Anolis sagrei: one gene and its partners. The protein of the gene in region 2 binds, or shares a complex with, the protein of the main gene of each other region. Links are inferred from orthologs where the notes say so. Each region holds a gene or a part of one and is shown on either strand. Other genes may lie near its edges.

Evidence for each region.
Region 1: INTS4 (region 2) and INTS12 share a complex: the UniProt entries of both Homo sapiens proteins name them as parts of the integrator complex. The link is inferred for Anolis sagrei from reciprocal best matches to the Homo sapiens genes INTS4 and INTS12.
Region 3: the proteins of INTS4 (region 2) and INTS9 are in contact, whole or in part, in a cryo-EM structure (PDB 8RC4), measured with the Homo sapiens proteins. The link is inferred for Anolis sagrei from reciprocal best matches to the Homo sapiens genes INTS4 and INTS9. Residues at the interface, in NP_291025.3 of Homo sapiens: Leu53, Gln54, Leu57, Gln58, Arg61, Lys62, Pro86, Ser87, Leu90, Lys91, Ser94, Gln125, Gln129, Asp132, His164, Gln207, Asp208, Pro209, Arg210, Arg212, Asp244, Tyr245, Glu246, Gln247, Trp296, Phe837, Gly840, Leu841, Val842, Val843; in NP_060720.2 of Homo sapiens: Lys2, Tyr4, Lys18, Ser21, Thr22, Leu43, Val44, Gln45, Glu87, Glu89, Leu90, Asp92, Asp97, Thr122, Glu145, Arg146, Val147, Pro148, Lys159, Glu174, Ser176, Thr177, Ser192, Gln195, Phe206, Gly207, Ile379, His380, Ser384, Asn385.

What each region holds. Positions count from the first base shown.
Region 1 is NC_090025.1:29,041,613-29,052,561, reverse strand, and holds the start of INTS12 (integrator complex subunit 12), read left to right. Parts: upstream 1-5,928; 5' UTR 5,929-6,060; intron 6,061-8,169; 5' UTR 8,170-8,177; coding exon 8,178-8,333; intron 8,334-9,571; coding exon 9,572-9,724; intron 9,725-10,949. Other genes in the region: GSTCD (glutathione S-transferase C-terminal domain-containing protein), read right to left, coding at 1-329, 1,298-1,708. UniProt on the Homo sapiens protein: Component of the integrator complex, a multiprotein complex that terminates RNA polymerase II (Pol II) transcription in the promoter-proximal region of genes.
Region 2 is NC_090023.1:10,009,342-10,020,889, reverse strand, and holds the start of INTS4 (integrator complex subunit 4), read left to right. Parts: upstream 1-7,306; 5' UTR 7,307-7,362; coding exon 7,363-7,434; intron 7,435-10,501; coding exon 10,502-10,699; intron 10,700-11,490; coding exon 11,491-11,548. UniProt on the Homo sapiens protein: Component of the integrator complex, a multiprotein complex that terminates RNA polymerase II (Pol II) transcription in the promoter-proximal region of genes.
Region 3 is NC_090021.1:8,090,927-8,101,448, forward strand, and holds the start of INTS9 (integrator complex subunit 9), read right to left. Parts: upstream 5,324-10,522; 5' UTR 5,226-5,323; coding exon 5,217-5,225; intron 1-5,216. UniProt on the Homo sapiens protein: Component of the integrator complex, a multiprotein complex that terminates RNA polymerase II (Pol II) transcription in the promoter-proximal region of genes.

The DNA of each region.
Region 1 (10,949 bases), on a different chromosome or scaffold from region 2:
TCCCTAGAAGTAGCCGTTTGTGTTTTCTGCAGAGTTAATTTAGAGAGAGCAACTCTCAGTTCCAGGTCTGCTCCACAGGGTTCCAGATCTTCTGTTAACTTTTCATCTTGTGAAGAAACATCATTATTTGATTCCCTGACAAAGGTCTTTTGCTGCTTAACTTTCTGCCTTCGAATTTTGTCATCATTATGAACCCTTACAGGCGCTCCCAATTTTTTTTCTAGCTGCAGTATCTCATCTGGAATAGTCTCACACTCAGGAGAGGCTCGTAAAAAGTTTTCAACAGCCGAAGGAATGCTGATTTCACAAAGTCTGGTCCATTCACTAACCTGCAAATGAATATAATCGCTAAGTTAAGGGATTAGTTTTATATCTATACTCACGGAAACCACAAAAGGAATTCCAACAAAAGCATGAAGAGTTACAGAATACGGCCCTTTGCTTTTGTAGCAAAAAGAAAGGTCTATTCAAACATACTGAGAACAACTAACTGAGATTCCTCTTCCCCAAGGATAAGTTATTTATTTACTTCATTTATATACCACTTTTCTTACCCCCTTGGGGGGGGGGGGGGGGGAATTCAAAACCATTTCCAAAATATTCACGGAAAAATTCAATGCCTTACAAAACATGAAAACCCAATATAATGCAACAGTAACATAAAACTATACATTAAATCATAAAATGCAACTACATGTAAACATTAAAACAAGAAATTAAAAACAGATTAATCTAAACATTAAAACAATAAACTTGTTATTCAATTCTTCCAGCATTGTCATATCAGTATCAGGAGCCATGGTGGCGTAATGGGTTAAATCCTTTGGCCGGCTGAACTGCTGACCTGAAGGTCAATGATTCAAATCCATGAGATGGGGTGAGCTCCCATCTGTCAGTTTCCCTTGCGGGGACACGAGAGAAGCCTCCTACAGGAGGTGGCCCCTGGGCAACATCCTTGCAGATGGCCAGTTCTCCCACACTAGAAGTAACATGCAGTTTCTCAGGTCACTTCTGACATGACATAAAACTATATCAGTATCAAATGCATATTCAATGTTATTTGCATTACATTTCATGATTTACTATTCTTTGTGATTCCTTCCCATTTAATCTATACTAGACATCTGGGATTGTATCACGTTAGTAATTTCTGAATTAATTTAAGAAAGAAGGCCAAGATATGTTACTGGCTTGCTTTTCTATAGTGGGATAATCAATCTGTTTGAAATCAATTAATAAGATTCAATGTGTTTGAAGTTTATTACAAATCACTATAAATCTATATAGAAATACTCACTTCAGCACAAGCTTTCAAACAGGTCTTTTTAAAACCCAAGAGTTCGAGAATATCTTCTTTTGATGGATCTGCCTCGTACGTTTTATGTATAATGTGTCTGAGTACCACAGCAAGTCCTGCTCGGCAAAATCTTCCATTCTTCTCAACAACAGCAGGCAAACAGCAACTCTGGACCACCAAAGGGAGTTCACACTTTTTGATGAAGCAAATATCTAGGTCCTTCGGTAGTACTTTGTCTGTAAACTGAGAATCAGAAGCTGTTTCATCTGAAGATACTAGAAACACTCTGAATGTTTTGCAGCCACAGTATGACAACAGGAACAACGATACAGAGGTATGGAGAGGAAAGATACAATCTCCAGTCTGATTAATGTAGTCCAGATACAAGTGGTCTTCAGTAACCGCTTTCATTTTTTTCTTAAAGGAAGAAATGGTATTAATAAAATATATGTAGATGATTTAATTTTTAATACATTTTAAACTATGAAAATAATCAGTCCTTTTTCCTATTGGAAACATCAATTCATTCACAAACCAAATGAATTATACTAGCCTAAAATGAAAGGGCAATACCAAGATATGCTTGGCATGGGGACTCTACATTAAGTTAATCTTCTCTCTGCAATTTTTGGCATCACCCCTCCTTCATATTGGCTAGTAAAGGCAGAAAATACTGTTTAATGGCACTGTTTTAAGACAGTCAAAACAACATAGTATCCATCATCCTTCTCGTATTAACACACACAGCAAAGGAATAAGTTCCTACACCATTAAAAAAGTTCAATGTTTTTGAGCAAACTTTGCATCCAAAATTCAACAATATTCACATGGGAAATCAAATAACTTGAATTAACAATTGGTTAAAATGCATTATTTTCAGAGTAAGACCCAATTTTACATCTTGAAAGTCTCTCTTTTACCATCACACTACCAATGCAAATTCTTCAGCATATGGTACTTAAATGGTTGAGTAGTCCACTGATTTCATTAAGTTATTCAATATACAGTGGGAACAGGGATTACATTCCTGATTTGCAGAATACCGACATAATTTTGGTGACTAGATCTTTCTGCCTCCTGTTTAATCTTGTGTGATGTGTACAATTACAGACTCCACTTACTAAACCCTAGGGACCACATCGTTTGACATGCACATCTGCAGCCTCAGCTTTTTATTTGGAAATTGTGAGGAAATGTACCAATTCCCACTTCCCCTATGGAAGTGAGAAGATTTTTTTAAAAACACATAATACACAGTAGAATTAATGCAACTTTAACTGCCACAGAAAATATTATGGAATCCTTGTAATTGTAGTCTGATGAGGCACCAGCACTCTTTGGCAGAGAAGGCTACAGACTTTCTAAAACTACAGCTCCCAGGATTCCATGGCATTGAGCCATGGCAATTCAAGTGCATTAATTCTACAGTATAGACCAGTGGTTCCCAACCTGTGGGTCCCCAGATGTTTTGGCCTTCAACTCCCAGAAATCCAACAGCTGGTAAACTGGCTGGGATTTCTGGGAGTTATAAGCCAAAACACCTGGGGACACACAGTTTGAGAACCACTGGTGTAGACAAACCTTGGTTACATTGCTTTCATTGTTAATAGCACTGTTCTTGAAAGTTCGACAGTGGATTACGTAAAATAAAAATTAAGTCATTTACACAAAAAAATATTATTAAAAGAAGTCACAACTCCTCTGGCAAAGGCAGCAACCTAAGAATCAAAATAATGAATGATGCAGAAAGAGGTTGACAACGGAACTTCTGCGTATCTTCTCACCATTAAATATATTTTCGCTTAAAGGGAGATCTCGTTGCTCGGAAAATTTCAATTGGAAATTTCAATTGGTACAATGGGCGGCAGTCAGGTTACTAACTGGCGCAACTTACAGAGAGCGGTCAACCCTCCTGTTTAAGGAGCTCCACTGGGTGCCTTTCATTTTCCGGTCCGAATTCAGGGTGCAGGTTCTTACCTACAAAGCCCTGAATGGTTTGGGACCCGCCTACCTAAGTGACCGCATTTCTGTGTACGAACCCACACAATCTCTTCAATCGTCTGGAGAGGCCCTGCTCGCGCTCCCACTTCCTTCACAGGCGCGTTTGGTGGGGACAAGGGAGAGGGCCTTCTCAGTGGTGGCCCCCTGACTCTGGAACTCACTTCCCAAGGAGTCTTTAGGAGGAGTCTTTAGGAGGAGCCTGAAAACGTGGTTGTTCCAGTGTGTCTTCCCAGAATAAGGAAAACTCTCAGAAATATGCCCTCAAAATGTACTTTTACCACAGATTTAGGACTGACTGCATTCCCTCATCTCTCTTTGAAAACCCTATACCAGTTATATCCTACCTTGTTCATGCCCAGTGTTATTTTTTAAATTTTAAACTATTACATTTGGCCTGGCCATAAGTTTTTAAATGCGTGTATGTTACTGGTGGCCCCCCGACTCTGGAACTCACTTCCTAAGGACATCAGGCAGGCCCCAACTTTGGCAGTCTTTAGGAGGAGCTTGAAGACGTGGCTGTTCCTGTGTGCCTTCCAAGAATAATGATCCCATAGCACTTTGTCCTCCAAAGCACTTTACATTTTAGGCCTGCTTGTATGTTTTCCACAAATGCCCCATCACTTTTTCGCCCATGTTCCAGCATTACTTCCAATTTTAATTTTACATTTGGCCTTCCCATAGTTTTTAATCATGTGGTCTTATTGTTAATGTTGCATTATTGGATTGTCCATGTTTATTTTAATTACTTGTATTGCTGTTATTATTGCTTGTATTGTTGCATTTGGGCTCAGCCTCATGTAAGCCGCACCGAGTCCCTTGGGGAGATGGTAGCAGGGTACAAATAAAGTATTATTATTATTATTATCATTATTTATTGGTTATGTGATTTATATTAATTATATTGTATTGATTGTTTTTGTTATTGCTTTTTGTTTTATTGATGTACTGTTGGGCTTGGCCTCATGTAAGCTGCACTGAGTCCCTTGGGGAGATGGTAGCAGGGTATAAATAAAGTATTATTATTATTATTATTATTATTATTATTATTATTATTATCATTATTTATTGGTTATGTGATTTATATTAATTGTATTGTATTGATTGTTTTTGTTATTGCTTTTTGTTTTATTGATGTATTGTTGGGCTTGGCCTCATGTAAGCCGCACCGAGTCCCTTGGAGAGATGGTAGCAGGGTATAAATAAAGTTTATTATTATTATTATTATTATTATTGCTCAACTAGCTGTCCCCTGCCACGCGTTGCTGTGGCCCAGTGTGTTGATCTGGAAAATAAAGTAATGAGAAAGTGCTGGTTTCCAATATATGTAATGTTGTTATGTTTGTGGGTAAACAGTATTTCTTGCTGTTTCTTTGTCAGTGTTGATGTGGAGAGTGTCTGGTTTGCCCACCCTGGAACATGCAACATATCATTGTCCTTCTTTAGGGGTCCCTTTCAAATCTATGATACTATATCTCTCTGTGTGTGAATCATATCTATCTATCTCTACCTATGGCTGGATGGCTCTTGGTCAGGAGGACTTTGATTATGTTTTCTTGCCCTGGTGAAGGGAGTTGGAATGGATGGCCTTAAGTATTCTCTGTTGGTCATGGGGGTTCTGTGTGGGAAGTTTATCCCGATTCTATCATTCATGGGGTTCAGAATGCTCTTTGATTGTAGGTGAACTGTGAATCCCAGTGGCTACAACTCCCAAATGTCAAGGTCTATTTCCCCCAAACTCCATCTGTGTTCATATTTGGGCGTATTGAGTGCTTGTGCCAAAGTTTGGTCCAGATCCATCATTGTTTGAGCCCACAGTGCTCTCTGTATGTAGGTGAACTACAACTCCCAAACTCAAGGTCAATGCCCACCAAACCCTTCCAGTATTTTCTGTTGGTCATGGGAGTTCTGTGTGCCAAGTTTGCTTCAATTCCATCGATGATGGGAGTTCAGAATTCTCGTTGATTGTAGGTGAACTATAAATCCCAGCAACTACAACTCCCAAATGACAAAATCATAATTTTTAGAGTGATGGCCACTCCTTGTGTTGTGAGACATTTTGTTGCCAAATTTGGTATGATTTCGTTCATTGGTTCTTTTGTTTTTAAGGTACTCATTATGCACAGAGCATTTATATATATATATATAGAGAGAGAGAGAGAGAGAGAGAGAGAGAATAGAATGCAATGGGATCTTGGGAGTTGTAGTTCTACAAGGTCTTCTGCTAGAGTGCTGTTGCCTCACCAAACTACAACTCCCAAGATCTCATAGCACTGAGCCATGGCAGGGAAAAGTGATGTCAAACTGCAAATTGTAGAGTAGGCCTGGGCCAACTTGGGCCCTCCCTCCAGGTGTTTTGGACTTCAACTCCCACAATTCCTAACAGCCGGTAGGGTGTTAGGAATTGTGGGAGTTGAAGTCCAAAACACCTGGAGGGAGGGCCCAAGTTGGCCCAGGCCTGGTGTAGAGGGGAAAAAGACAATCCTTTTCCAAGCAAAAGCTCGCTTTAAAAGCCAAAGACTTGATGGGACATTTCTCCAAAGCCTCCTTACCGGAGATCCTTAGCCAGCGCCTTCCTCTCAGTGTCCGCCTCAGAAGCCGCAAGCCCCGCCTCTTCCGGCGCTCCTCCTCACTTCCGTTGTGTGTCTGCCTGCCAGCCGGGGACAGAAGGCGGCCGGCACCTCTAGGGAGAAGGAGGAGAACGAGAAGGAGACACCTGGCTGGCTGGACTTCTCCTTCGCGACGGGGTTTCCCTGCCAAATGAGGTGAAAGAGCAGGGGCCAATGAGGAAGGGGTTATTTTTTTTGAAAGCTTCTCTCCATTGTGTGGTAATGAATTGTAATGTATTGTAATGAATGCCTTTCTCCTCCTGTGCTAAAGAGGACCATGCTACAACTCCCAGGATTCAAGAGCATTGAGTAAAGTGGTGTCAAACTGGCTCTATAGCAAGCAAGGGCTAACTTGGGCCCTCCAGGTGTTTTGGACTTCAACTCCCACAATTCCTAACAGCCGGTAGGCTGTTAGGAATTGTGGGAGTTGAAGTCCAAAACACCTGGAGGGAGGGCCCAAGTTGGCCCCTTCTAGCCTTGTCTCTCTCCTGAGGAATCTGTATAAGGACCAAGTAAAGTGGAAGGCAAAAGGAAGAGGGGCCGACCAAGGGCAAGATGGATGGATGGCATCCTTGAAGTGACTGGACTGACCTCGAAGGAGCTGGGGGTGGTGACAGGGAGCCGACAGGGAGCTCTGGCGTGGGCTGGTCCATGAGGTCATGAAGAGTCGGAGACGACTGATTGAATGAACAACTGACCATGGAACAACAGACTGGTTCAAGATTGCGAAAGGTGTACAGCAGGGTTGTCTACTCTCCCCCAACCTATTCAACTTGTATGCAGAACACATCATGCGATGTGCAGGGCTTGAGGAATTCAAGTCTGGGGTGAAAATTGCTGGAAGAAACATTAACAACCTTAGATATGCAGATGATACCACTTTGATGGCCGAAAGCGAGGAGGAGTTGAGGAGCCTTCTAATCAAGGTGAAAGAAAAAAGCGCAAAAGCTGGGTTGCTGTTAAACATCAAAAAACACAAGATTATGGCAACAAGAATGATTAACAACTGGGAAATAGAGGGGGGAAACGTGGAGACAGTGACAGACTTTGTATTTTTAGGTGCAAAGATTACTGCAGACACAGACTGCAGCCAGGAAATCAGGAGACGCTTACTTCTTGGGAGGAGAGCAGTGTCCAATCTTGATAAAATAGTGAAGAGTAGAGACATCACACTGGCAACAAAGATCCGCCCAGTCAAAGCCATGGTATTCGCTGTAGTAACCTACGGATGTGAGAACTGGACCTTAGGGAAGGCTGAGCAAAGGAAGATAGATGCTTTTGAACTGTGGTGTTGGAGGAAAGTTCTGAGAGTGCCTTGGACTGCGAGAAGATCCAACCAGTCCATCCTCCAGGAAATAAAGCCCAACTGCTCATTGGAGGGAAGGATACTAGAGACAAAGTGGAAGTACTTTGGCCACATCATGAGGAGACAGCAAAGCCTAGAGAAGATCTGCATAGTTAAAGCAATGATATTCCCCGTAGTCACCTACGGATGTGAGAGCTGGACCATAAAGAAGACTGAGTGAAGGAAGATACATGCTTTTGAACTGTGGTACTGGAGGAAAATTCTGTGAGTGCCTTGGATCGCAAGAAGATCAAACCCATACATATTCCAGGAAATAAAGCCCGACTACTCATTGGAGGGAAGGATATTAGAGGCAAAGATAAAGTGCTTTGGCCACATAATGAGAAGATAGGAAAGCTTGGAGGAGATGGAAGGAAAAAGGGACCGACTCAAGGGCAAGATGGATGGATGTTATCTTTGAAGTGACTGGCTTGACTTTGAAAAAGCTGGGGGTGGCCATGGCCGACAGGGAGCTCTAGCGTGGACTAGTCCATGAGCTCATTATTATTATTATTAACTTTATTTGTACCCCGCTAGCATCTCCCGCAGGACTTGATGCGGCTTACAAAGGCCAAGGCCTCAACACAACAGCAAAACAATAACAATACAATTTAAAGCAAATTAAAACATAAGCAATAACAAAATGTTACATCATTATGCAATAAAACCAGGGCTGGGCCAGTGATGGGTACAGGTTAAAAAGTGCTGGGTGTGGCAGGAGGTATGTTGGATTTCCGGGCAAGTGCAATGTGCAGAGAGTCTTAAACTCTAATAAAGTGCTTCTGGGACGTAGTAGCTCAGGTAGAGTAGGAAGCAACTGAATGAATAAACAACAAAAACCAAAGGTTAGTTGACAAGCAAAACATATGTTTAAACTTTTTCCATCTTGTTATTTCTCTCTTTCTTTTCTTCCTTCAAAGGTGCTGCTATGGCTGCTGCTATGAACTTGGAGCTGGACCCCATCTTCTTGAAAGCTCTTGGTTTCTTGCATTCCAAAAGCAAAGATTCTGCTGAGAAACTCAAAGCGCTGCTTGACGAATCCTTGTCCAGAGGGATAGACTCAAGCTACCGCCCCTCACAGAAGGTACTAGCCCTAATATATGGAATATGTAAGGTATTTTGTGCTCCTCCTTAAACTGAGGTGCTTTTTGTCAGAAAAAGGTACTATGGTTATGGCTGAGCACTTGATGAACCAACTTGACTCAGCATATTATTTGAGAACACAGAAATGCTGGACCATTCTAACAACCACCATGTCAGACTATACAGAGAAGCCCTTGAAATCCACAAGCGTGTGGACAATTTCAACAGAAAGGAGGAAACCATGCACAAAATCTGGCTACTAGTATTAAAAAAATTCTATCAGGACAGTAAATAAAGAACAACACTCAAAAAACGGGAATTCTGGACAGGAAATAGTTAGGGCCAGCTAACACCTGACAAAGGATTCCTCCAGAAAGGAAGCAAATAACCCAGTTCAAAGCAAATATTGTTGGATTTTCTGCCTTGATATTCTGGGTTATATGGCTGTGTGGAAGGAACCTGAATCAAAAAACCATTTAGATTCCAAAGAAAGCTTTGAGGGTTTTTTTAAACCCCACAAACTCACTATATGGAGATTTCATTTTGATCAGAAGAAGTGAATATGTCAAATAAAGAATAAATAAAGAAGGTTGCAATCATGAGGAAGTAACTCTACTGAACTCGATGAGTAAACATACTTTGAATCAGTCTGTGAAAATACAGAGAAATTAAAACAAACAATTACTACACTATGTAACAAAATTTGAAACATTTTTTGTTACTGATTTGAAAGTGTTATTTAATAGTACCATACTGATTTTGAAAGTGTTATACTCCAGAAACTTGGTTTTTGTGGCTGCCACAAACTATGTTGAATTGATTGAATTTGACTCGAGATATTCATTGAAAAAACTATAGCAAAATGTGCTGTGGGATGTCTGGCTTTTAAATTTTAATGCTTTATAAAACTTTTATTAAAGTCAGTTTTTAAGCCTGCTTTTTAAATAGTTTATTAGTTTTAAAATGTAATTTTTAGTTGTGTGATGTTTAATTTGTTGCAATTTTTAATTATTGCTTGATGTAGATGTTTAATGTATTTTTATGGTAATTTATCTGTTTGTTTACCTTTTACAGCATTGAATGTTCACCGCTACATATTGTTAAGCACACTGAGTCCCCATTGGGGAGATAGGGAGGGATGGAAATTATACTTTATTATTATTATTATTGTTATTATTATTATTATTATTTGCAGTTGAATAAACGGTCAATGTTGTATTTTTGTTTGGCTTTACTCAGGAGGTAGAGCCACCCAAAATATCTATTGCAAAACCAATATCCGTTAAACAAGAGATTAAGGTTTCCTCAAGCCTTCCTACAGGCAGCAATAATGGCAAACCTGTTGTGGCCGAAAAGGTGAAAAAGGAAGTGGAAAAGCGATCTGTTGATAAGGTAAGTTGAGATGGATTCATTCTCTAGTGTGATGAGATCCTAAGTGTTAAGCTCTTTGGACAGAGCTGTCTTTAGATCCCACTACAATCAGGCCCCATCTACACTGCCATATAATGTAGTTTCAAAATGCAGTTTCAATGCATTGAACTGCATTGTGTGGCAGTGTAGACTCATATAATCAAGTTCAGTGCAGTTATTCTGCATTCTGAAACTATTGTGTGGCAGTATAAATGGGGCTACAGTAGTTGCTATGGAACTCTAACCCAAGTTTTAGTTGACATTCCTTTTTGTTTCTCTTTTTTTTTATAAATCTTTTTTATTGAATTTTGTGCATATGTACAGTAAGAATCAGTGAGAGAGATACAAGTGATTAGTCGTAAACATATTAAATTAAAAAACATATTAAATTCCTTTTTGTTTCTCTTTCTGAAGCATAAGGACCTTTTTATGGGTCTTTACTTATTGTTTCATTACTACAGGTCTTTTCTTTGAATATGTTGTGTATTTTATCTTTTTAAAAGCTGTTTTAATGTCGTGCTTTTAATAGAATTAAGATTGAGGCCACTTCTACACTGCCATATAAAATCCATCTGCCTTGTACTGGATTATATGGCAGTGTCGACACATATAATCCAGTTCAAAGCAAATAATGTGGATGACCTGCTTTGATAATCTGAATTATATGGCAGTATAGAAGGGACCTTAGCTGTACTTGAATTTTTCTTAAGTCGGTTTGGGCAAAGAGAAAGATGAAAAGAAAAAGAAGTAATTTAAACACATTTTCTTTATTTATGTAGATTGTACACCTTGTTCCTATGGAAAGCTTGTTTCAACAGAGAATGGGGAAATGTAATTTCAAATAAAAGCTACGCCACTTTTTGCTGCCATACGACCAGAACTTGGTAGTAAAATAAATAGTGAATGGTGCAATGACCAGTGGGTTTCAGGTGGGCAGGAAATAGTCCTGAGATTTATCTAATTTGCTCAACCACACATTAATCAAATCTTTACCTCTCAACATTTGTATAGGTGTAACAGAAAAGTATTTGTGGTCCTTGTAAAAACAAAATACTTTTAGGAGACATATTTTGTTGTTATTAATTAAAGATGATATTTAACACATTCAGTGCAGAAGATTATTATATGAGTTACAGTTGCAAAACATGAATAATATATTTAGTGTTTAGATGTTAAGTTCCATAATGGGTGCAGATCAAATTAATAT
Region 2 (11,548 bases):
GAAAGGGGAGAAGGAAAGAAAAAAGAAAGAAGGAAGGAAAGAGGGAGTGAAGGAAGAGGGAAACATGTAGAGAAAGAGGGAGGGAAGGAAAGAAGGAAAGAGAGAAGGAAGAAAAGAGACAGCAGAAGAGAAAGAAAAAGGGGGAAGGAAGGAAAGAGATAGAGAAGGAAGGAATAAGAGGAGGAAAGAGGGGAAGGAAAGAAGGAAAGAGGGAGTGAAGGAAGGAGGAAAAGGAGAGAAAGAGAGAAAGTTGGCCACAGCAACGCGTGGCGGGTACAGCTAGTAATCTATATAAATTAAAATGTAATGTTCGTTTGTGGGATTAACATAACTCAAAAACCACTGGACGAATTGCTGCCAAATTTGGCCACAAGACACCTACTAACACAAGGAGTGACCACCACTCAAAAAATGATTTTGTAGTTGCTGGGATTTATAGTTCACCTACAATACAAGAGCATTCTGAACTCCACCAGTGATGGAATTGAAACAGATGTGACATACAGGACTCCAATGACCAACAGGAAACACTAGAAGGGTTTGGTGGGCATTGACCTTGAGTTTGGGAGTTGTAGTTCACCTACATCCAGAGAGCACTGTGGACTCAAACAATGAAGGCTCTGGACCAAACTTGGCACAAATACTCAATATGCCCAAATGTGAACACTAGTGGAGTTTGGGGGAAATTGACCTTGATATTTGGGAGTTGTAGTTACTGGGATTTATAGTTCACCTACAATCAAAGAGCATTCTGAATCCCACCAATGACAGAATTGGGGCAAACTTCCCACACAGAACCTCCATGATGACCAAAAGAAGTTGGCCTTCCAGTCCAACTCCCTTCACCAGGGCAAGAAAACATAATCAAAGCCCTCCTGACAAAGAGCCATCCAGCCATAGAGATATATATGATTCACACACAGAGAGATATAGTATCATAGATTTGAAAGAGACCCTTAAAGAAGGACAATGATTTATTTATTTATTTATTTATTTAGTACACTTGTATACCGCTAATATCTCAGCCTGTGCGGCGACTCATTGCGGTTTACAACATATTTAAAAATACAATATTCACTTTAAAAATATAAAATAAAATATAAAAATACATATATATACATACATAGTATTGGGCCACCAATACAGACCGGAACATCTCATAGTTAAAGTCGTAATCCAATTCGTTATCCTTGATTGCTAGTCCATGATCAAAACATCATCACATCGGAATTAGTTGAAAACTTGCTCGAACATCCAAGTTTTCAGTTTTTTCTGAAATGCCATTAGCGAGGTGGCTGATCTTATTTCAGTAGGGAGGGCATTCCAAAGCCGGGGGGCCACCACAGAAAAGGCCCTATCTCTCGTTCCCGCAAGCCGCACTTGTGAAGCAGGCGGGATGGAGAGAAGGGCTTCTCCTGAAGATCTTAGGGTCCTGGTGGGCTGATAGGCCGAGATACGTTCGGATAGGTATGTAGGGCCAGAACCGTTTAGGGCTTTAAAGGTCAAAGCCAGCACTTTGAATTGGGCTCGGTAGCTAATCGGTAGCCAGTGGAGCTGGTACAGCAGAGGAGTTGTATGCTCCCTGCGCCCTGCTCCTGTTAATACCATGGCTGCCGCCCGTTGGACTAATTGGAGCTTCCGGGCCGTCTTCAAAGGCAACCCCACGTAGAGAGCGTTGCAGTAGTCAAGGCGGGATGTAACCAGAGCGTGGACTACCGTGGCCAAGTCAGACTTCCCAAGGTACGGTCGCAGTTGGCGCACGAGTCTTAACTGTGCGAATGCTCCCCTGGTCACCGCCGAAACCTGGGGATCCAGGCTCAGCGATGAGTCCAGGATCACACCCAAACTGCGAACCTGTGTCTTCAGGGGGAGTGCGACCCCGTCTAACACAGGCTGTAACCCTATACCCTGTTCGGCCCTGCGACTGACCAGGAGTACCTCTGTCTTGTCTGGATTCAATTTCAATTTGTTCGCCCCCATCCAGACCGTCACAGCGGCCAAGCACCGGTTCAGGACCTCGACAGCCTCCTTAGTAGCGGGTGGGAAGGAGTGACAGAGCTGGACATCATCTGCGTACAGATGACACCGCACCCCGAAACTCCGGATGATCTCGCCCAGCGGCTTCATGTAGATGTTAAACAACATGGGGGACAGTATTGAACCCTGAGGAACCCCACAAAACAAAGGTTGTGGGGTAGAACAGGAGTCCCCCAGTGACACCTTCTGAGACCGACCCTCGAGGAATGACCGGAGCCACCCATTCCCGCGAGGCGTCCCAGAAGGATACCGTGGTCGACGGTATCGAAGGCCGCTGAGAGGTCGAGTAGCACCAACAGGGACACACTCCCCCTGTCGAGCTCCCGACGGAGATCATCCACTAAGGCGACCAAGGCTGTCTCGGTACCGTGTCCCGGCCTAAAGCCAGACTGTGCCGGGTCTAGATAATCCGTGTCTACCAAGAATGCCTGGAGTTGTGAGGCCACCACACGTTCCATGACTTTGCCCAAAAAGGGAAGATTGGAAACAGGCCGATAGTTTACCAATTGAGTGGGGTCCAGTGATGGTTTCTTCAACAGCGGTTTTATCACAGCTTGCTTTAAGCTGGCTGGGAAAATGCCTTCCCGAAGGGAGGCATTAACCACCACCTTAACCCACTCGGCCAATCCCCCTCTGGCCTCCTTTAGAAGCCAGGATGGGCAGGGGTCTAGGATGCATGTGGTAGCTCTCATTCCTCCAAGCACCTTGTCCACATCCTCGGTTTGAACCAATTGAAATGAATCCATCAAAATCGGACAAGCAGATGCTCGTGTTACATCCTCAGAGACTGCCGTTAATATGGTGTCCAGTCCAGAGCGGATCAAAGCGACTTTGTCTGTAAAGAACTGAGCAAAAGCTTCACAGCGAGCTGCCGCGTCATCAGGGCACCCATCCTGAATGGTGGGTTTTAAAAGGCCTCTGACAACTCGGAACAGTTCAGCCGGACGGTTCTTTGCAGACGCAATAGTGGCCGCAAAGAAAGTTTTCTTTGCGGCTCTTATTGCCGCGGCATATGACCTTAAAAAGGACACAAACAATGATATCTTGCATGTTCCAGGGTGGGCAAACCAGACACTCTCCATCTCAACACTGACAAAGAAACAGCAAGAAATAATGTTTACCCACAAGCAAAAAGAAATTACATATATTAAAAACCAACACTTTCTCGTTACTTTATTTTCCAGATCAACAGACTGGGCCACAGCAACACCTGGCAGGGGACGGCTAGTAATAATAATAAAACTTTCTTTATATTCCGCTCTATCTCTCCAAAGGGACTCAAGGCGGATTCCAAACATAAAAGACAAACATTCAATGCCCAAATACAACAACAATACATTCATGCTAACAAAATGTATACAGTAAATATGAATTATAACTTCACAAACTAAAATTAAATAAAAAGCACAGCCTGTTATAACAGACATAAGACAAAACGTCAAAGCAGCTGTGTGTTTATTATTCTTGTTCTTCGAGGCTATTTGAACAAATCACATGCCTCGGGTGAGCTAATGTTTACTTTCAAGCCACATCATGACTATTGTCTTCCATTGAAGTGTCTCATATCTGTTATACTGACTTTTGAAATCTCCAGTTACAAATAATACACAAAATTATTCACTATCCAGTTATATATTTATTTGATTTATCGTGCCAGGAGCAAACCAAACAGTTGTATTGCATTTTTTAACAAACAAACAAACAAACAAACAAAACACAAAGTTTGCAAGCTTGGTAGTTGATTAAATGTCCTTTGACGATTATTTGGCCACTTGGAGTGCTTCTGGTGTTGCTGCAAGAAGGTCCTCCATTGTGCATGTGGCAGGGCTCAGGTTGCATTGCAGCAGGTGGTCAGTGGTTTGCTCCTCTCCACACTCGCATGTCATTGACTCCACTTTATGGCCCCATTACTTAAGGTTGGCTCTGCATCTCATGGTGCCAGAGTGCAGTCTGTTCAGCACCTTTCAAGTCGCCCAGTCCTCTGTGTGCCCAGGAGGGAGTCTCTCATTTGGAATCAGCCATTGATTGGGGTTCTGGGTTTGAGCCTGCCACTTTTGGACTCTCGCTTTCTGAGGTGTTCCAGCAAGTGTCTCTGTAGATCTTAGAAAACTATTTCTTGATTTAAATTGTTGATGTGTTACTGATACCCAAACAGGGGATGAGCTGGCTTGGTCCTTTCACTATTGGCTGCCACTTCCCGGGGGATGTCAGGTGGTGCAATACCGGCTAAGCAGTGTAATTTCTCCAGTGGTGTAGTTATATATTATCATTTTAGCATCCCAAAATGTGGTTTAATTTCCTCTAAGGACCACTTTATCCCCATATCTTGTTTCCATTCTCATATTCCAATGATGGAAGCATGTTACTGAGCATGTACAGAGTGCCTTTGGGGACCCAAGCTTTGTATTTGAAGAAAAATGTCCAGCTAAACTTAAACTTTGACCAGGTTGCCTTTGCTCCCTTCTCCGGGACCCATCTATATTGCATAATGTCACGTTTTTCACTATATTTGTGGTTCTGATATGATAAATAAAAATCTACATTGCCATATAATGTACTGTCAGGATGCAATTTAACTGCATTGAATTGGATTATATGAGTCCAAAAATGCCATATAATGTAATATAATGCATGTAATGGAACCTCACCACCAATAGGAGGACTAGGGTTCTTAATAACTACTTCTATCCAGACTATCCCTGCCTGGCAAGTCCAACGGTGCATCTACACATGTTGAATGAATGCAGTTCCATACCATTTTTACTTCCACAGCGCAAAGCTAAAGCATCAGTACTCTTGGACCTTGGAAAACTACAACTATCAACAGTATAGACAAAAGACACACATACACAGAAGAAGAGCCTATTGAGCCTATTATTTTGTTATTGTTTGCATTTTATTTGATGTTATTATCTGTTATATGTATTTCATTTTGATTTCTTGTCATTGTTGAGTTTGGCCTCATGTTAGCCGTCCCGAGTTCCTGTGGGGAGATGGTGTTCGGGTAGAAATAAAGTTGTTTATTATTATTATTATTATTATTATTATTAATATTAGTAATATTAGGTTCTGAAGACCCGGGTTTGAATCCCTGTTTAGCCATGGAAACCCATTGGGTAACCAAGTTACACTCTCTCAGCCTCAGAGAAAGTCAATAGCAAACCTCTGAACATATTTTATATTACATGAAGCAGAAACTACTTCGCTTTTGGACCACCACTTCCAGAATAGCTGGCTTGGGGATTCTGGGACTGGTGATCCAAAAAACAAAGGATGGATGGTATCCTTGAAGTGACTGGCTTCACTCTGAAGGAGCTGGGGGTGGCCACGGCCAACAGGGAGTTCTGGCGTGGGCTGGTCCATGAGGTCACGAAGAGTCGGAAGCGACTGAACAAATAAACAACAAAATTAAATGTTAATCACGGTGATCAACGGAAACATTAACAGCTTCCTCCAACAGACAAGAGTTCTTTCTCCCACCCTGATATATAAACCCAATTTTCCTAGTTTCCAACAGACCTCACAACCTCTGAGGATGCCTGCCACAGATACAGGCGAAATGTCAGGAGAGAATGCTTCTGGAACGTGGCCACACAGCCCGAAAAACTTACAGTAACCCAGTGATTCTGGCTATGAAAGCCTTCAACAACACAATAATAATAATTAAAAAATTCACAAAAATGGGACTTGAAAGTGTGCATCTACACTGCAGAATTCATTCACATTGATGCCACTTTAACTGCCATGGCTCAATACTGTGGAATCTTGGGGTTTGTAGTTTGGTGAGTCACTAGAAGTCTTTGGCAGAGAAGCCTGGAAACCTTGCAAAACTGCAACTCCCAGGATTCCATGGGTGCATTTTTAACTTTATTTCTAAACTTTTGTATTATGCACACACACACGCTAGCCGTCCCCTGCCACCCGTTGCTGTGGCCCAGTCTATGTATATGTATTTTGTGGGTATATATATGTGTATATATGTGGTTTTGTGCATGCATTGTAATTTTTTTTTGCCTTTTAAGTCTCTTCTGCTGTGTTTTTTAGTGTTTTTATGTATTTTATTTATTTTTATTTGTATACTAGCCATCCCCTGCCATACATTGCTGTGGCCCAGTCTGTGTATATGTGCTTTGTGTGTGTGTAACTGTGTGTATATATTGTGTATATGTGTGTGTGTGTGGTCTTCTGCATGTGTTGTAATGTGTTTTTTCTTTTTTTGCCTTTTTAAGTCTCTTCTGCTGAATTTTTCAGTGTTTTTATGAGTGATGGGCACTAGTTGGCCGGATAGGTGTATTGTGTCCAAATTTGGTGTCAATTTGCCCAGTGGTTTTTGAGTTATGTTACTCCCACAAATTAACATTACATTTTTATTTATATTGATGATATCAAATCCAACATAAAAAGAGTCTCTATAGACATTCAAGTATATTTTATATTGCTGAGCGTAAACATGAAAACATACAGTAAGTGTGGAATACATGGGTATGCATTGCTGTGGCCCAGTCTGTGTATATGTGTATGTGCGTATATATTTGTGTATATGTGTATTTATGTGGTTATGCACATAAGTTGTAATGTAATGTATTTTTTATTTTATTTTTTTGCCTTTTAAAGTCTCTTCCAGTGTTTTTCAATGTTTTTATGAGTGATGACCTGATAGGTGTCCAAATTTGGTGTCAATTCGTCCAGTGGTTTTTGAGTTATGTTAATCCCACAAACGAACATTACATTTTTATTTATATAAATGTAATATCATATATATATATGTATATGTGTATATATATATATATATATATATATATAAAATAACATATAATATAATATATAAATGTCATAAATAATATATATATATATAATGCTATATACATATTATATTATAATATAACATATAATATAATATATAAATGTCATACATTATATATATATATATATATAGATATATATATAATTATATATTATAATATAACACATAATAAATATATAAATATATTATATCATATATAATATATATAGGTTTGCTGTGTAGTTCTACAGTGTAGATCCACCCAAAAGTGGTCTTCTGTTAGCTTACAAAATTAAATCAGGTTTCAAAAAATAATATTAATACAAAAATAGTTTTCCTTTCTTCTGAGCCATGTTTCTCATTCCCACTCTGCTTCTGTACATCAGTGATCTTAACTTCTTCAATTGGAAGCCTGAAGTCATGGTTGCGGTAAATACTACTTTGTCAGACAGGTCTCTTGAACCTTTTCCCACCGAGGAAGGCGGCTGGCTACGGTGGCTCCGAAGGGTCAGTAGTGACGGAAAAGCGAAACCGCGGGACTGATGCTTCGATCCAAGATGGCGGCGCACTTAAAGAAGCGAGTGTATGAAGAGTTCAGCAAAGTGGTCGTCCAGGTAACCGGGGGGGTCTTTTGAGACGCGGGTTGGGTGGCCTTGAGTGTAGATATATCTGTGGAATAATGTCCAGGGTTGGAGAAAGAACCCATGTCTGTTTGAAGCAAGTTTGAATAGCATTGAGTAGCAATGAAGCTGTAAAGTGAGGTATCTGCATAGAGGTAGCCTGGCTGTTGTTGCCTGGAGGCACTCTCTGTTTGGGAGGTGTTAACTGGCCCTTGATTGCTTTTTGCCTAGAGTTCTCCTGTTTCTGAGTGGTGTTCCTTATTTACTCTCTTGATTCTGGTGTTTTTTTTAATACTGGTAACTAACTCTTGTGATAATAATAATAATAATAATAATAATAATAATTTATTTATTTGACCAGTCTTATGACCATTTCAAAATGCAACACGAGTAAAAGACAAGGCAAAAAGGAGAGGACAGCAGCTGACATAGAATCAAAGAGTTGGAAGAGACCTCGTGGGCCATCCAGTCCAACCCCATTCTGCCAAGAAGCAGGAATGTTACATTCAAATCACCCCTGACAGATGGCCATCCAGCCTCTGTTTAAAAGCTTCCAAAGAAGGAGCCTCCACCACACTCCGGGGCAGAGAGTTCCACTGCTGAACGGCTCTCACAGTCAGTTAGGAAGTTCTTCCTAATGTTCAGGTAGAATAATAGAATCAAAGAGTTGGAAGAGACCTCTAGGGCCATCCAGTCCAACCCCATTCTGCCAAGAAGCAGGAAAATCACATTCAAAGCACCCTAACAGATGTCCATCCAGCCTCTGTTTAAAAGCTTCCAAAGAAGGAGCCTCTACCACATTCCGGGGCAGAGAGTTCCACTGCTGAATGGCTCTCACAGACAGGAAGTTCTTCCTCATGTTCAGAAGGTGGAATCTCCCTTCTTGTAGTTTGACGCCATTGCTTCATTGCGTCCTAGTCTCCAGGGAAGCAGAAAACAAGCCTGCTCCCTCCTCCCTATGACTTCCTCTCACATATTTATACATGGCACTCATCATGTCTCCTCTCAGCCTTCTCTTCTTCAGGCTAAACATGCCCAGCTCTTTAAGCTGCTCCTCATAGGGCTTGTTCTCCAGACCCTTGATCATTTTAGTCGCCCTCCTCTGGACACATTCCAGCTTGTCAATATCTCTCTTGATTTGGGGTGTCCAGAATTGGACACAATATTCCATCTGTCTTCACTTCACTTCACTTCTCTTCACTTATGGTGCCCAGAATTGGACACAATATTCCAGGTGTGACCTGACCAAAGCAGAATAGAGCATGGGTAGCATGACTTTCCTGGATCTAAACACTAGTTTCCTATTGATGCTTTTTTTGCTGCCACATCACATTGTTGGCTCATGATTCTTGAGATGATGGAACAAAAGAGAACAGACATATGGAAGAGTGGGGATTTGAACATTGGCCTTTAAAGTCATACCCTAATGCTCAGACCACAACACTATACTGGCTTTAAACATCCATATAGATATACTTATGTAAGGCAATACAAATTTATTTATTTATCGTGTCAGGGGCAACCAGACCATTGTATTACATTTCTAACAGAACAAAATAAACAAACAGGCAAAACACAAAGTTTGCAGGCTTGGTAGTTGATTAAATGTCCTTTGACCAGTATCTGGCCACTTGGAGTGCCTCTGGTGTTGCCGCAAGAAGGTCCTCCATTGTGCATGTGGCAGGGCTCAGGGTGCATTGCAGCAGGTGGTCAGTGGTTTGCTCTTCTCCACACTCGCATGTCGTGGATTCCACTTTGTAGCCCCATTTCTTAAGGTTTGCTCTGCATCTCGTGGTACCAGAGTGCAGTCTGTTCAGCGCCTTCCAAGTCACCCAGACTTCTGTGTGCCCAGGGGGAGTCTCTCATTTGGTATCAGCCATTGATTGACTCTCGCTGCCACTTTTGGACTCTCGGTTGCTGAGGTGTTCCAGTGAGTGTCTCTGTAGATCTTAGAAAACTATTTCTTGATTTAAAGCGTTGGCATGCTGGCTGATACCCAAAAAAGGGGTGGGCCAGAGATGTCACTGCCTTGGTCCTTTCACTATTGGTTGCTACTCCCTGGTGGATGTCAGCTGGTGCAATACCACCTAAACAGTGTAGTTTCTCCAATGTCTGTTTGAAGCAAATTTCAGTTAGTAAACTTGAATAGCATTGAGTAACCATGAAGCTGCAAAGTCAGTCAGTGAGGGTATCTTCAGAGGTAGCCTGGCTGTTGTTGCTTGGAAACATTCTGTTTGGGTATAGTGTTAACTGGCCCTTGATTGCTTGTTGTTTGGAGTTCTCCTGTTTCTGTGTGATGTTATTTATTTACTGTCTGGATTCTAGTTTTTTTTAATGCTGGTAACTAGATTGTGTTCATGTCCATGGTTGACATTTACAGCCCAGAAAAAAAATCATGTTACATAGTAATATTTTAAATTATTTTTTCAAACAAAAATACTGAATTACTTACGAAAGTAATCATTGCTCTTTGGATTTTTTCACAGATATCTTGCTACATTCACATGCAGAATCAAAACACACACACATATAGCATAGGTTGTCTTCTTAAAGGAAGGCGTTAGAGAGGAGGAGTTAGGGGTGAAAAGTGATCTCCCTTTTCTGTGCTCCTGTACTCTCCCCTTCTCTCTCTGCACTCTCCATTTTTCTCTATGAGGGGCTTTTCCCCTTTCCATTGTCATCAGCTGACCACCAGAAGCGACTTGCAATTTCTCAAGTCACTCCTGACACGACCAAAAAAAAAAAAAGCTGGCCACCGTGCACATTCTGATTTTAATTTTTTTTAATGTGTATGTCGCAATATATATTTATATACTGTAAACATGGCCCCCTAAAACCATTGCAAATGCAAGAAAATTACTGTTATTAACTCATTCTTAAATTGCCCCCTTTAAAAAATCAAATTGCCCCTCTGTGAGGTGTGTGCCCCACATTGGGAACCAGGGATCTAGATGGCTATAATAACAAGGCAATTCTTACAGCTTAATGTGTGGAGAATCATTTAGCATTTCCTGCCTCCTTTCTTTGAGGAAACACAGCCTTACACAGTTTATTGTTACAGCAACAGCAGCATGAAGAGATTTCTGCGAAGAAGCTCCGGCTGACCAAGCCAAGTAAGTCAGCAGCACTCCACGTGGATCTGTGCAAGGCGACTTCACCAGCAGATGCTCTGCAGTACCTGCTGCAATTTGCCAGGAAGCCCGTGGAACCAGAAAGCGTGGAAGGAGTGGTCCGAATCTTGCTGGAGCATTATTACAAGGTGAGATGAGTAGGTCCTACAGTTTGATCACCACGGCTCAGTGTTCTGGAATTCTGGGAATAGTAGTTTGGTGAGGCACCATCTTTTTTGGCAGAGAAGGCTAAAGACCTTGAAAAAACTCCCATGATTCCATTGCATTGAGTCGTTAACAGTTAAAGTGATTTCAGACTGCATCAGTTCTTGAGTTTTATTTGTCGTGTCAGAGCAACCAGTCAATTTTATTACATTTCTAACAGAACAAAACAAACAAACAAAATACAAAATTTGCGGGTTTGGTAGTTGATTAAATGTCCTTTGACCAGTATCTGGCCACTTGGAGTGCTTCTGGTGTTGCTGTAAGAAGGTCCTCCATTGTGCATGTGGCAGGGCTCAGGGTGCATTGCAGCAGGTGGTCAGTGATTTGCTCTTCTCCACACTCGCATGTCGAGGATTCCACTTTGTGGCCCATTTCTTAAGATTGGCTCTGCATCTCGTGGTGCCAGAGTGCAGTCTGTTCAGCGCCTTCCAAGTCGCCCAGTTTTCTTTGTGCCCAGGGGGGAGTCTCTCATTTGGTATCAGCCATTGGTTGAGGTTCTGGGTTTGAGCCTGCCACTTTTGGACTCTCGCTTGCTGAGATGATCCAGAAGTTATAGAGTGTAGATCAGGCATGGGCAAACTTCAACCCTCCAGATGTTTTGGACTTCAACTCCCACAATTTCTAATAGCCTACTGGGTTGGAATCACATTCAATCACATTCAGGGAGACTGAAATAATTCAGGTTTCCTCTGTTGTTGTTTTTTTATCTCTATAGGAGAATGATCCTTCTGTCAGACTGAAGATTGCTTCCCTGTTGGGCTTGCTGTCAAAGA
Region 3 (10,522 bases), on a different chromosome or scaffold from region 2:
CCATGAAAAACATAAAGGACCGAGGAAGAAGAATGCCAGGTCCGAGTTTCTCCAGCACTTACTGGAGAAACTTCAGAGATTCTCATTATACCAGTATATTTAATGGTAAAGCAATTAAGGTGTGGTGTGGATGAAAGAGAAAACCCTGCAATACAAAGAGGGTGAGAGTGAAGTTAAGGAAAGTTTTCCCACATATAGAAATATACCGCTCCTGGATGCTATCTGTTTATGATGAGGCTGTAGAAAAGGAGACAGAGTTATGCAGACCTCCAAATATTCTTGGACTGTAACTACTTGTTATAGTCTAAGCTGGCTAGGGCTCTTGGAACCTCAAGAGTAGTCATGGGCCCAGTATTTGTCTCATTTGTTTATTTCATGTTTTTGTTTCGTACCTTTGCCACCAATAGGCTGAAAATATTCTTTTTCGGACCTTGGATGGAAAAGCTCATTTGGAAAGGCGCTTGTTTTTGGGATAGGTGCTTGAAATTAAGACTCATCCCACCAAATGGGGAAGGAGTTGCAAAATTAAAAACAGAAATATAAAGGGAGATATGTGTGTGTGTGAATCATCTCTTCCTCCCACATTTTATTATTATATTATTATACTTACCTTATTTATTTATTTATTTATTTATTATCATCTCTTCAACGGTCTGGAGAACAAGCCCTATGAGGAGCGGCTTAAGGAGCTGGGCATGTTTAGCCTGAAGAAGAGAATGCTGAGAGGAGATATGATAGCCATGTATAAATATGTGAGAGGAAGTCACAGGGAGGAGGAGGGAGCAAGCTTGTTTCCTGCTTCAAACTACAAGAGAGGAGATTCCATCTGAACATGAGGAAGAACTTCCTGACTGTGAGAGCCATTCAGCAGTGGAACTCTCTGCCCCGGAGTGTGGTGGAGGCTCCTTCTTTGGAAGCTTTTAAACAGAGGCTGGCTGGCCATCTGTCAGGGGTGATTTGAATGCAATATTCCTGCTTCTTGGGAGAATGGGGTTGGACTGGATGGCCCAGGAGGTCTCTTCCAACTCTTTGATTCTATTATTCTATGGTTGTTAATGTTTCTTCCAGTAATTTTCATCCCGCCTTGCATTCCTCAAGCCCCGCACATGTGTTCTGTATACAAGCTGAATGGGTTGGGGGAGAGTATACAACCCTGCCGTACACCTTTCCCAATCTTGAACCAGTCTCCTGTTCCGTGGTCAGTTCTGACTGTTGCTCCTTGGTCCTTGTACAGATTCCTCAGGAGAGAGACAAGGGGGCTTGGGATGCCCATCCCACCAAGAACTTGCCACAATTTATTATGATCCACACAGTCAAAGGCTTTAGAATAGTCAATGAAGCAGAAGTAGATGTTTTTCTGAAACTCCCCGCCTTTCTCCATTATCCAGCGGATATTGGCAATCTGGTCTCTCGTTCCTCTGCCTTTTCTAAACCCAGCTTGAACGTCTGGCCACTCTCGCTCCATGTATTGCTGGAGTCTTCCTTGCAGGATCTTGAGCATTACCTTACTGGCATGAGAAATAAGGGCCACTGTGCGGAAGTTTGAGCAGTCTTTCACATTTCCCTTTTTTTGGTATGGGGATATAAGTTGATTTTTTCCAGTCTGATGGCCATTCTTGTGTTTTCCATATTTGCTGGCAAATGGCATGCATCACCTTGACAGCATCATCTTTCAAGATTTTAAACAGTTCAGCTGGGATCCCGTCGTCTCCTGCTGTTTTTGGGATAGGTGCTTGAAATTATAACTCATCCCACCAAAAGGGGCAGGAGTTGCAAAATTAAAAACAGAAATATAAAGGGAGGTGTGTGTGTGTGCGAATCATCTCTTCCTCCCACATTTTATTATTATATTATTATATTGACCTTATTTATTTATTATCATCTCTTCCTCCCATATTTTATTATTTTTATTATTTTACTGACACAAAAACAGTATGTCACAGCAAACTGGATTTCGTATCACAAAATCACAAGTCAAACATTTCCCAAGCGTCTGGGATTTATTTATTTATTTATTTACTTTGCTTCTATACCGCTGTATCTCAAGCCCGAAGGCGACTCACAGCGGTTCACAAACAGTAAAAACAGTAGAAACAGCAGTGGTGCCATGCAACATATAACAATTGACTTAACACATTATCCATAAATTACCAATAAGCAATTACAATGCACAATTATTACGAAAAACAACCGTACCCAATCTTCTCATCATCCAAGCGTAGTCCAGGTTCGTCGTCCATTGTTCCATTCCTATGTTCCATTACCAGATTGCACTAAATTACTCAAACGCCTGCACAAACATCCAGGTCTTCACCTTTTTGCGGAATACCATTAGAGATGGTGCTAGTCTAATGTCCGTAGGAAGGGCGTTCCACAGCCGAGGAGCCACCACCGAGAAGGCCCTATCTCTCGTCCCCGTCAGCCGAGCTTGAGAAGCAGGCGGGATCGAGAGCAGGGTCTCCCCGGAAGATCTCAAAGTCCTGGTGGGTTCATAGGCAGAGATGCGGTCAGATAGGTAGCTTGGGCCAGAACCGTTTAGGGCTTTAAAGGCCAACGCCAGCACTTTGAATTCAGCCCGGTAGCAGATCGGTAGCCAGTGGAGTTGGCGCAACAGGGGGGTTGTATGCTCCCTGCGCTCCGCTCCTGTTAAAATCATGGCTGCCGAGCGTTGGACTAGTTGGAGTTTCCGAGCTGTCTTCAAAGGCAACCCCACATAGAGAGCGTTGCAGTAGTCTAAACGGGATGTAACCAGAGCCAAGTCAGACTTCCCAAGGTATGGGTGCAGCTGGCGCACAAGCTTTAGCTGTGCAAATGCTCCCCTGGTCACTGCCGAAACCTGGGGTTCCAGGCTCAGCGATGAGTCCAGGGTCACACCCAAGCTGTGAACCTGCGTCTTCAGGGGGAGTGCGGCCCCATCCAACACAGGCTGTAACCCTATGCCCTGTTCGGCCTTGCGACTGACCAGGAGGACCTCTGTCTTGTCTGGATTCAATTTCAATTTGTTCGCCCTCATCCAGACCGTCACAGCGGCCAAGCACCGGTTCAGGACCTGGACAGCCTCCTTAGTAGCAGGTGGAAAGGAGTGACAGAGTTGGACATCATCCGCGTACAGATGACACCGTACCCCGAAACTCCGGATGATCTCCCCCAGCGGCTTCATGTAGATGTTAAACAACATGGGAGACAATATTGAGCCCTGAGGAACCCCACAAGACAATGGTTGTGGGGTTGAACAGGTGTCCCCCAACAACACCTTCTGAGATCGACCCTCCAGGAATGACCGGAGCCACTGCAAAACAGTACCTCCAAGACCCATCCCCGCGAGGCGTCCCAGAGGGATACCGTGGTCGACGGTATCGAAGGCCGCTGAGAGGTCCAGCAGCACCAACAGGGACACACTCCCCCTGTCGAGCTCCCGGCGCAGATCATCCACTAAGGCGACCAAGACTGTGTCAGTTCCATGCCCCGGCCTAAAGCCAGACTGTGCCGGGTCTAGATAATCCGTGTCTACCAAGAATACTTGGAGTTGTGAGGCCACCACACGTTCCAAGACTTTGCCCAAGAAGGGGAGATTGGAAACTGGCCGATAGTTGTCGAATTTAGTGGGGTCCAGTGATGGTTTCTTCAACAGCGGTTTTATTATAGCTTGTTTTAAGCTCGCTGGAATCTTGCCTTCCCGAAGGGAAGCGTTAACCACCACCTTAACCCACTCAGCCAATCCCCCTCTGGCCTCCTTTAGAAGCCAGGATGGGCAGGGGTCCAGGATGCATGTGGTTGGCCTCATTCCTCCAAGTATCTTGTCCACATCCTCGGGTTTCACCAATTGAAATGAATCCATCAAAACTGGACAAGCAGGTGCTCATGTTACATCCTCAGAGACTGCCATTAACATGGTATCCAGACCAGAACGGATCAAAGCGACTTTGTCTGCAAAGAACTAAGCAAAAGCTACACAGCGAGAAGTCGAATCGTCAGGGTTCCCACCTTGAGTGGTGGGATTTAAAAGGCCTCTGACAATTCGGAACAGCTCAGCCGGATGGTTCTTTGCAGACGCAATAGTAGCCGCAAAGAAGGCCTTCTTTGCGGCTTTTATTGCCGCGGCATATGCCCTTAAAAAGGACACAAACCGTGTTCGATTTGGCTCACTCGGATCCGAACGCCACACACTCTCTAGTTCCCTCTTCCTTCGCTTCATCGCTGCCAGCTCCTCGGTGAACCAGGGATTGTGTGATGTATTTTCGAATTGATGCGTATAGATCCAAGTCAGGTGGCCTTTTGTAGTTGACAGGTCGTGATTTTGTCAATGTTTATTGTTTCCAAATGCTGGCTGAGATCTTTTGGCACAGCACCCAGTGTGCCAATGACCACTGGGATCACCTGTACTGGTTTTCGCCAGAGCCCTTGCCATTCAATTTTGAGGTCCTGATCACGGCTGAGTTTTCCTGTTTTTCATTGTTTTTCCTCAATGTGACTGTCTCCTGGTAGGGTGACATCAATAACCCAACAGTTTGAGGGACTGTGATCTGGCCCTCTGTTTAAAAAGTTCGAGGACCCCTGCCCTAAATGGTTCTGGTCCAATTTACCTGTACGAATGCATCTTCCCTTATGAACCATCTAGGACTTTAAGATCGTCTGGGGATGCCCTGCTCCGGGTTCTGCCTTCATCAGACGAAGAAGACTAAGCTTTCTACAGGAGCTCTTGGTATTACGTCCTGCACGAAAGGCTTCTCTGTGTGGACTGAATCCCAAATGACTCCTATTCCCTTTGTTGTTCATTCGTTCAGTCGTCTCCGACTCTTCGTGACCTCATGGACCAGCCCACGCCAGAGCTCCCTGTCGGCCATTACCACCCCCAGCTCCCTCAAGGTCAGTCCAGTCACTTCAAGGATGCCATCCATCCATCTTGCCCTTGGTCGGCCCCTCTTCCTTTTGCCTTCCACTTTCCCCAGCATAATTCCCTACAAAACCCAAAAAGGGGGCAGGGCCAGGGAACCTAACTATAATTGACAGGTGGCTTGCCCTATGATTGCAGCCAAAAGAAGCCACCTATCTGCAGAGTCCCTGAAACTTAGGACTACAACAAACATTCTGTGCAAAGCAAACAAAATTGGAGCTCCTGGTACAACTGTACCTGCACAGTTGTACTGGATCACACATCGCACAATTATTATTATTATTACTATTTAAAACTTCCTCCAAAGTCCTCCCAGACTCACCAGCTTCATGCTTCACCCCAGGCTCTGTTTGTGGCATGCAGTCTCTTCCTTCCTGTTTCCCAACCGGAAGTGCTTCCCGAAGCATCCTGGGAAGTGTAGTCCTTCTCTCAGCCTCCTAATGATTCAGGAGAATGAAGTCATGGGCGGCCATCTTGTCCTGCCAGCAGCAGAGCACGCCGGGAAGCGTAGTCTCTACTCCCTCCTCCCCGCCTCCCTCCTCCAACCGCCGTCTAATCAGCGTCGGCGCAAGGCATGCCGGGATGGGTAGTTCCCAGCGGCGACTTGGCGCCTGCACCCTGGGGGAGGCGGAACTACAAGTCCCAGGGCCTCCCCGCGGCGGCAGGTGGGAGCTTGGATGTTGATATCAACATGGCGCTTGTCAGGCAGACAAAGGCAGTCAGGCTGGTCTGATTGAGGGCAGGGAAGCTTCCCCTCAACTTCTCCTCTTCAGGGCTCCAGAAGAAGGCTCCAGGTGAGGCCCATCTTATGCTAGGGCAGAAAATCAAGAGTTGTTTCTGAAAGGAGATTTTGGAGGAAAAGGGAAAGAAACAGGAGAGATTTGGAAGGAAGAAAGTGGCTCCTTCCCAAAGTGACTTTGTGGGGAAATGTCAACAGAGTTTTGGGGAGGAAGGACAAGAAGAGGTTGGTTTTCCTCATTCTCTGAGGAAGAGAGGCTTCCTCTTTGTGGGATATAGATATAGAGAGAGAGTTTAATCTATCTATACTATATACACATCCCCTTTGCAGGGGAAGGTTTGTTTTCTTCCTCTCTGAGGTAGAAATACTTCTTTTGAACTAGCTGTTTTGTGGGATATATATTTATAGTATAATATGTCTATATCTATTATATATAAATCATATATCTCTATCTATATCCCCTTTGCAAGAGAAAGAGATAGTTCTTTTGAAGTAGCTATTTTGTTGGATATAAATTTATAGTATAATATGTCTATATCTATATATATATATATATATAGAGAGAGAGAGAGAGAGAGGGGGGGAACCATATATCTCTATCTATATCCCCTTTGAAGGGGAAGGTTTGTTTGCTTCCTCACTGAGGAAGAGATACTTCATTTGAACTAGCTATTTTGCTGGATATATATTTATAGTATAATATATTTATATCTATAATATAGATAGATAGAGATATATAACCAAGGGAAGGTTTGTTTGCTTCCTCACTGAGGAATAGATACTTCTTTTGAACTAGCTATTTTGCTGGATATGTATTTATAGTATAATATATTTATATCTATAATATAGATAGAGATATATAACCAAGGGAAGGGTTGTTTTCTTCCTCACAGAAATAGAGAGACTTATTTTGGACTTGCAATTTTGTGTGATCTATATCCATCTATCTATATAGTATACTGTCTCTCTATGGATATATATAGTATATTATATGTATATCTATCTATATCTATATATCTCCCCTTTGCAGGGGAAGGTTTGTTTGCTTCCTCACTGAGGAATAGATACTTCTTTTGAACTAGCTGTTTTGTGGGATATAGTATAGTATATTTATGCTAACCCTTCCATTGGGAAAATAGCTTATTATATTTATCTATCTATCAATATATCCCCTTTACATGGGAAGGTTTGTGTTCTTCCTCTCTGAAGAAGGAGACTTCTTTTGAACTAGTTGTTTTGTGGGATATAGTATAATATATCTATGCTAACCCTTCCATTGGGAAAATAGCTTAGAAAGAAGATACAGTATTATATATCTATACCTATCAATATATCCCTTTTGCACATGAAGGTTTGTTTTCTTCCTCTCTTTTGAACTAGCTGTTTTGTGGGATATAGTATAATATATTTATGCTAACCCTTCCATTGGGAAAATAGCTTAGAAAAAAGATATAGTATTATATATCTATATCTATCAATATATCCCCTTTGCATGGGAAGGTTTGTTTTCTTCCTCTCTTTTGAACTAGCTGTTTTGTGGGATATAGTATAATATATCTATGCTAACCCTTCCATTGGGAAAATAGCTTAGAAAGAAGATATAGTATAATATTCCTATATCTATATATCCCCTTTGCAGTGGAAGGTTTGTTTTCTTCATCACTGAGGTAGAGAGACTTCTTTTGGACTAGCTCTTTTGTGGGATATAGATATCTAGAGAGAGTTTAATCTATCTATAGTATATATACATCCCCTTTGCAGGGGAAGGTTTGTTTCTTCATCACTGAGGTAGAGAGACTTCTTTTGAACTAGCTGTTTTATGGGATATAGTATAATATATCTATGCTAACCCTTCCGTTGGATAAATAGCTTAGAAAGAAGATATAGTATAATATTTCTATATCTATCAATATATCCCTTTTGCACAGGAAGGTTTGTTTTCTTCATCACTGAGGTAGAGAGACTTCTTTTGGACTTGCAATTTTGTGGAATATATATCTATAGTATAATACATCTATATCTATCTGCACTGTAGTTATATATGTGTGTGTGTGTATAATACGCTCTCTCTCTCTCTCTATATATATATATAGTATATTATATCTATATCTATATATCTCCCCTTTGCTGGGGAAGGTTTGTTTGCTTCCTCACTGAGGAAGAAATACTTCCTTTGAACTAGCTATTTTGCTGTATATATATAGTATAATATATCTATATAATATATAGATATATTATACTATATATATATACAGCAATATATATATATATAGAGAGAGAGGGATAATCATATATATCTGTCTATATCCCCTTTGCAGGAGAAGGTTTGTTTGCTTCCTGACTGAGGAAGAGATACTTCTTTTGAACTAGCTATTTTGTTGGATATATATTTATAGTATATTATATCTATATCTATCTATCCATATCTATATCTCTCCCCTTTGCAGGGGAAGGTTTGTTTGCTTCTTCACTGAGGAAGAGATATTTCTTTTGAACTAGCTATTTTGCTGGATATATATTTATAGTATAATATATCTATACCTATGTAATCATATATCTTTATCTATATCCCCTTTGCAAGGGAAAGTTTGTTTCCTTCCTCACTGAGGAAGAGATACTTCTTTTGAACTAGCTATTTTGTTGGATATGTATTTATAGTATAATATATCTATATCTATAATAGACAGATAGATAGAGATATATAACCATATATCTCTATCTATATCCCCTTTGCAAGGGAAGGTTTATTTGCTTCCTCACTGAGGAATAGAAACTTCTTTTGAACTAGCTATTTTGTGGGATATGTATTTATGGTATATCTATCTATCATCTATATCTATATAATCATATCTCTATCTATATCCCCTTTGCAGGGGAAGGTTTGTTTTCTTCCTCTCTGAGAAAGGAGATGTCTTTTAAACTAGCTATTTTTTGGATATATAATATAATATAATATAAATCCACTTGCAGGGGAAGGTTTGTTTTTCTTCCTCTCTGAGAAAGGAGACTTCTTTTGAACTAGCTATTTTGTTGGATATATACATAATATAATATAAATCCACTTGCAGGGAAAGGTTTGTTCTCTTTCTCTCTGAGAATGAAGGCTTCTTTTGAACTATCCGTTTTATTTTCTGTTCTCTATATGTATTTGCAGGGAATAGAATACAAAAGGGTTATTTTCTTCCACTCTGTGGATGAGACTTCTTTTGGACTATCTATTTTGTAAGGTTTGTTCTATCTATTACGTATGCATGCATGCAATTTTTTGCAGGGGAAGTTTTAAAAGACAAGGAGGCGGCTGGCTGCCTCCCTCCTTCCCTCCCACCCTCTCTTTCCCCTTGAAATGAATGCTGTCGGGCAAAGAGATGGAGAGGAAACGTCTCTTTTGGGCGCCTGCTCAAGATCACTCTCCTTGTTGCCTCTTAACTCACTTTGAAGGCTCTTCTCCTGTACAGGAAGGAGCTGGTTTCTTTCCCTCCCACCTCCCCGCCTGCAAAATCTGACATTATTAAGTTGTGATTGCTCTTTTCTGCATCGCGCGAGACGGAAAGAGAGGGGATGGCGGTGGCTCTTCTTCTAGGTTAATTGCTCCGAAAGGGAAAACAAAAAGGAAGGTATGATCATTGTCTTGGATTCTCCCAGCCATCTGGAGAGGCTGGGCTCTTGTCGCGGATGCCCAGATAACATGAAACTCAGCCAGGGAGAGTCATCTCAGTCTGACGGACAGGATTGTTTCCCAACAGATCGGTTCTTTCGTAGGTCAAGGTTGCCGTCCCTCAGGGTATGAGAAAAGTCAAGCAGGGACACACTCGGTTTGTATGTCTACTCAGTGCTGTGTGAATAACATCAGCAAAGTGTCTTGGTTTTGACTGTTAACATTTCCAGAACTTGGTTTTGAGTGATGGTAGATGATTTGTGGTGGATACTTCTTTTCTGCTGCAGAAGAAAGCACATTTTTGTCTCTGTTAGGAGAGGGAAGATAATGTATTCTGTCTTGATGGCCTTGAAGAGCAGTTGTTTTTTTCTTGATTTAAGCAGTCTTTAGCCAAATTGCTGAAATAATTATGACTGTATTTCCTCGATTCTAAGGTGTATGCTTCTCCTCATGTAAAACCCTCTAAAATGGGATGCATCTTAGAATCATGGCTGCTTTTTTTACATATAATAAAAGCTTTTTCTCTTGGTGTTACTAAAATTAGTGCATGTCTTACAATTAATGGTGTCTTAGAGTAGAAGAAGCATGTTATTATTTTTGGGGAGAGAGTGAGGGCTTTATGCATGCTGTATTTTATTTGGGAATTGATTCCAGCCTTGAATGAGATGATTGATGCTCAGCTCACTGGCAGCCTTTACTGCTGCTTCATTAAACCTAAGCTCCTGGTTTTAACTAAACTTTAATAGCTTCTGTTTCTCACAGCACACTTAAACCAGGTGAAGAGTTTTGACCTCTTTACCATGCGGGTTGGACTACCTGTTGGTTTTTTTCTAGGGTTTGGGCATGAGAATTCCAGTAAAGTATATGCGTTTAGAAATTGAGATGGTGGCGGTATCGGAAAAGGGCAGAGAAGTGGCAGGGGAGGGGTGTTGCGAGCTGAGAGACGGGGTGTGCCATAATCTGATATCCAGAGTGGGAGGAGTTCTCTTGCAAACAGGAAAGCATGACAAGTGGGACCTGAGAACTGTCACTGCATCCCAAGCTTTGGGTTCTTCTGTAGCAATGTTGGGTTGAAGGGGGGAGTTTGAAAGGGAGGTGTATGAAAGTTGGAGAGCCTAAAGGGTGACCAAGGTCTGGAAGCCAAGCCCATTGAGAAGTGGCTTAGGGAACTTGGTATGTTTATCTTGGACTTGGAGAAAAGAAAGCGGAGAGACAGGGATATTAACCATGCTGA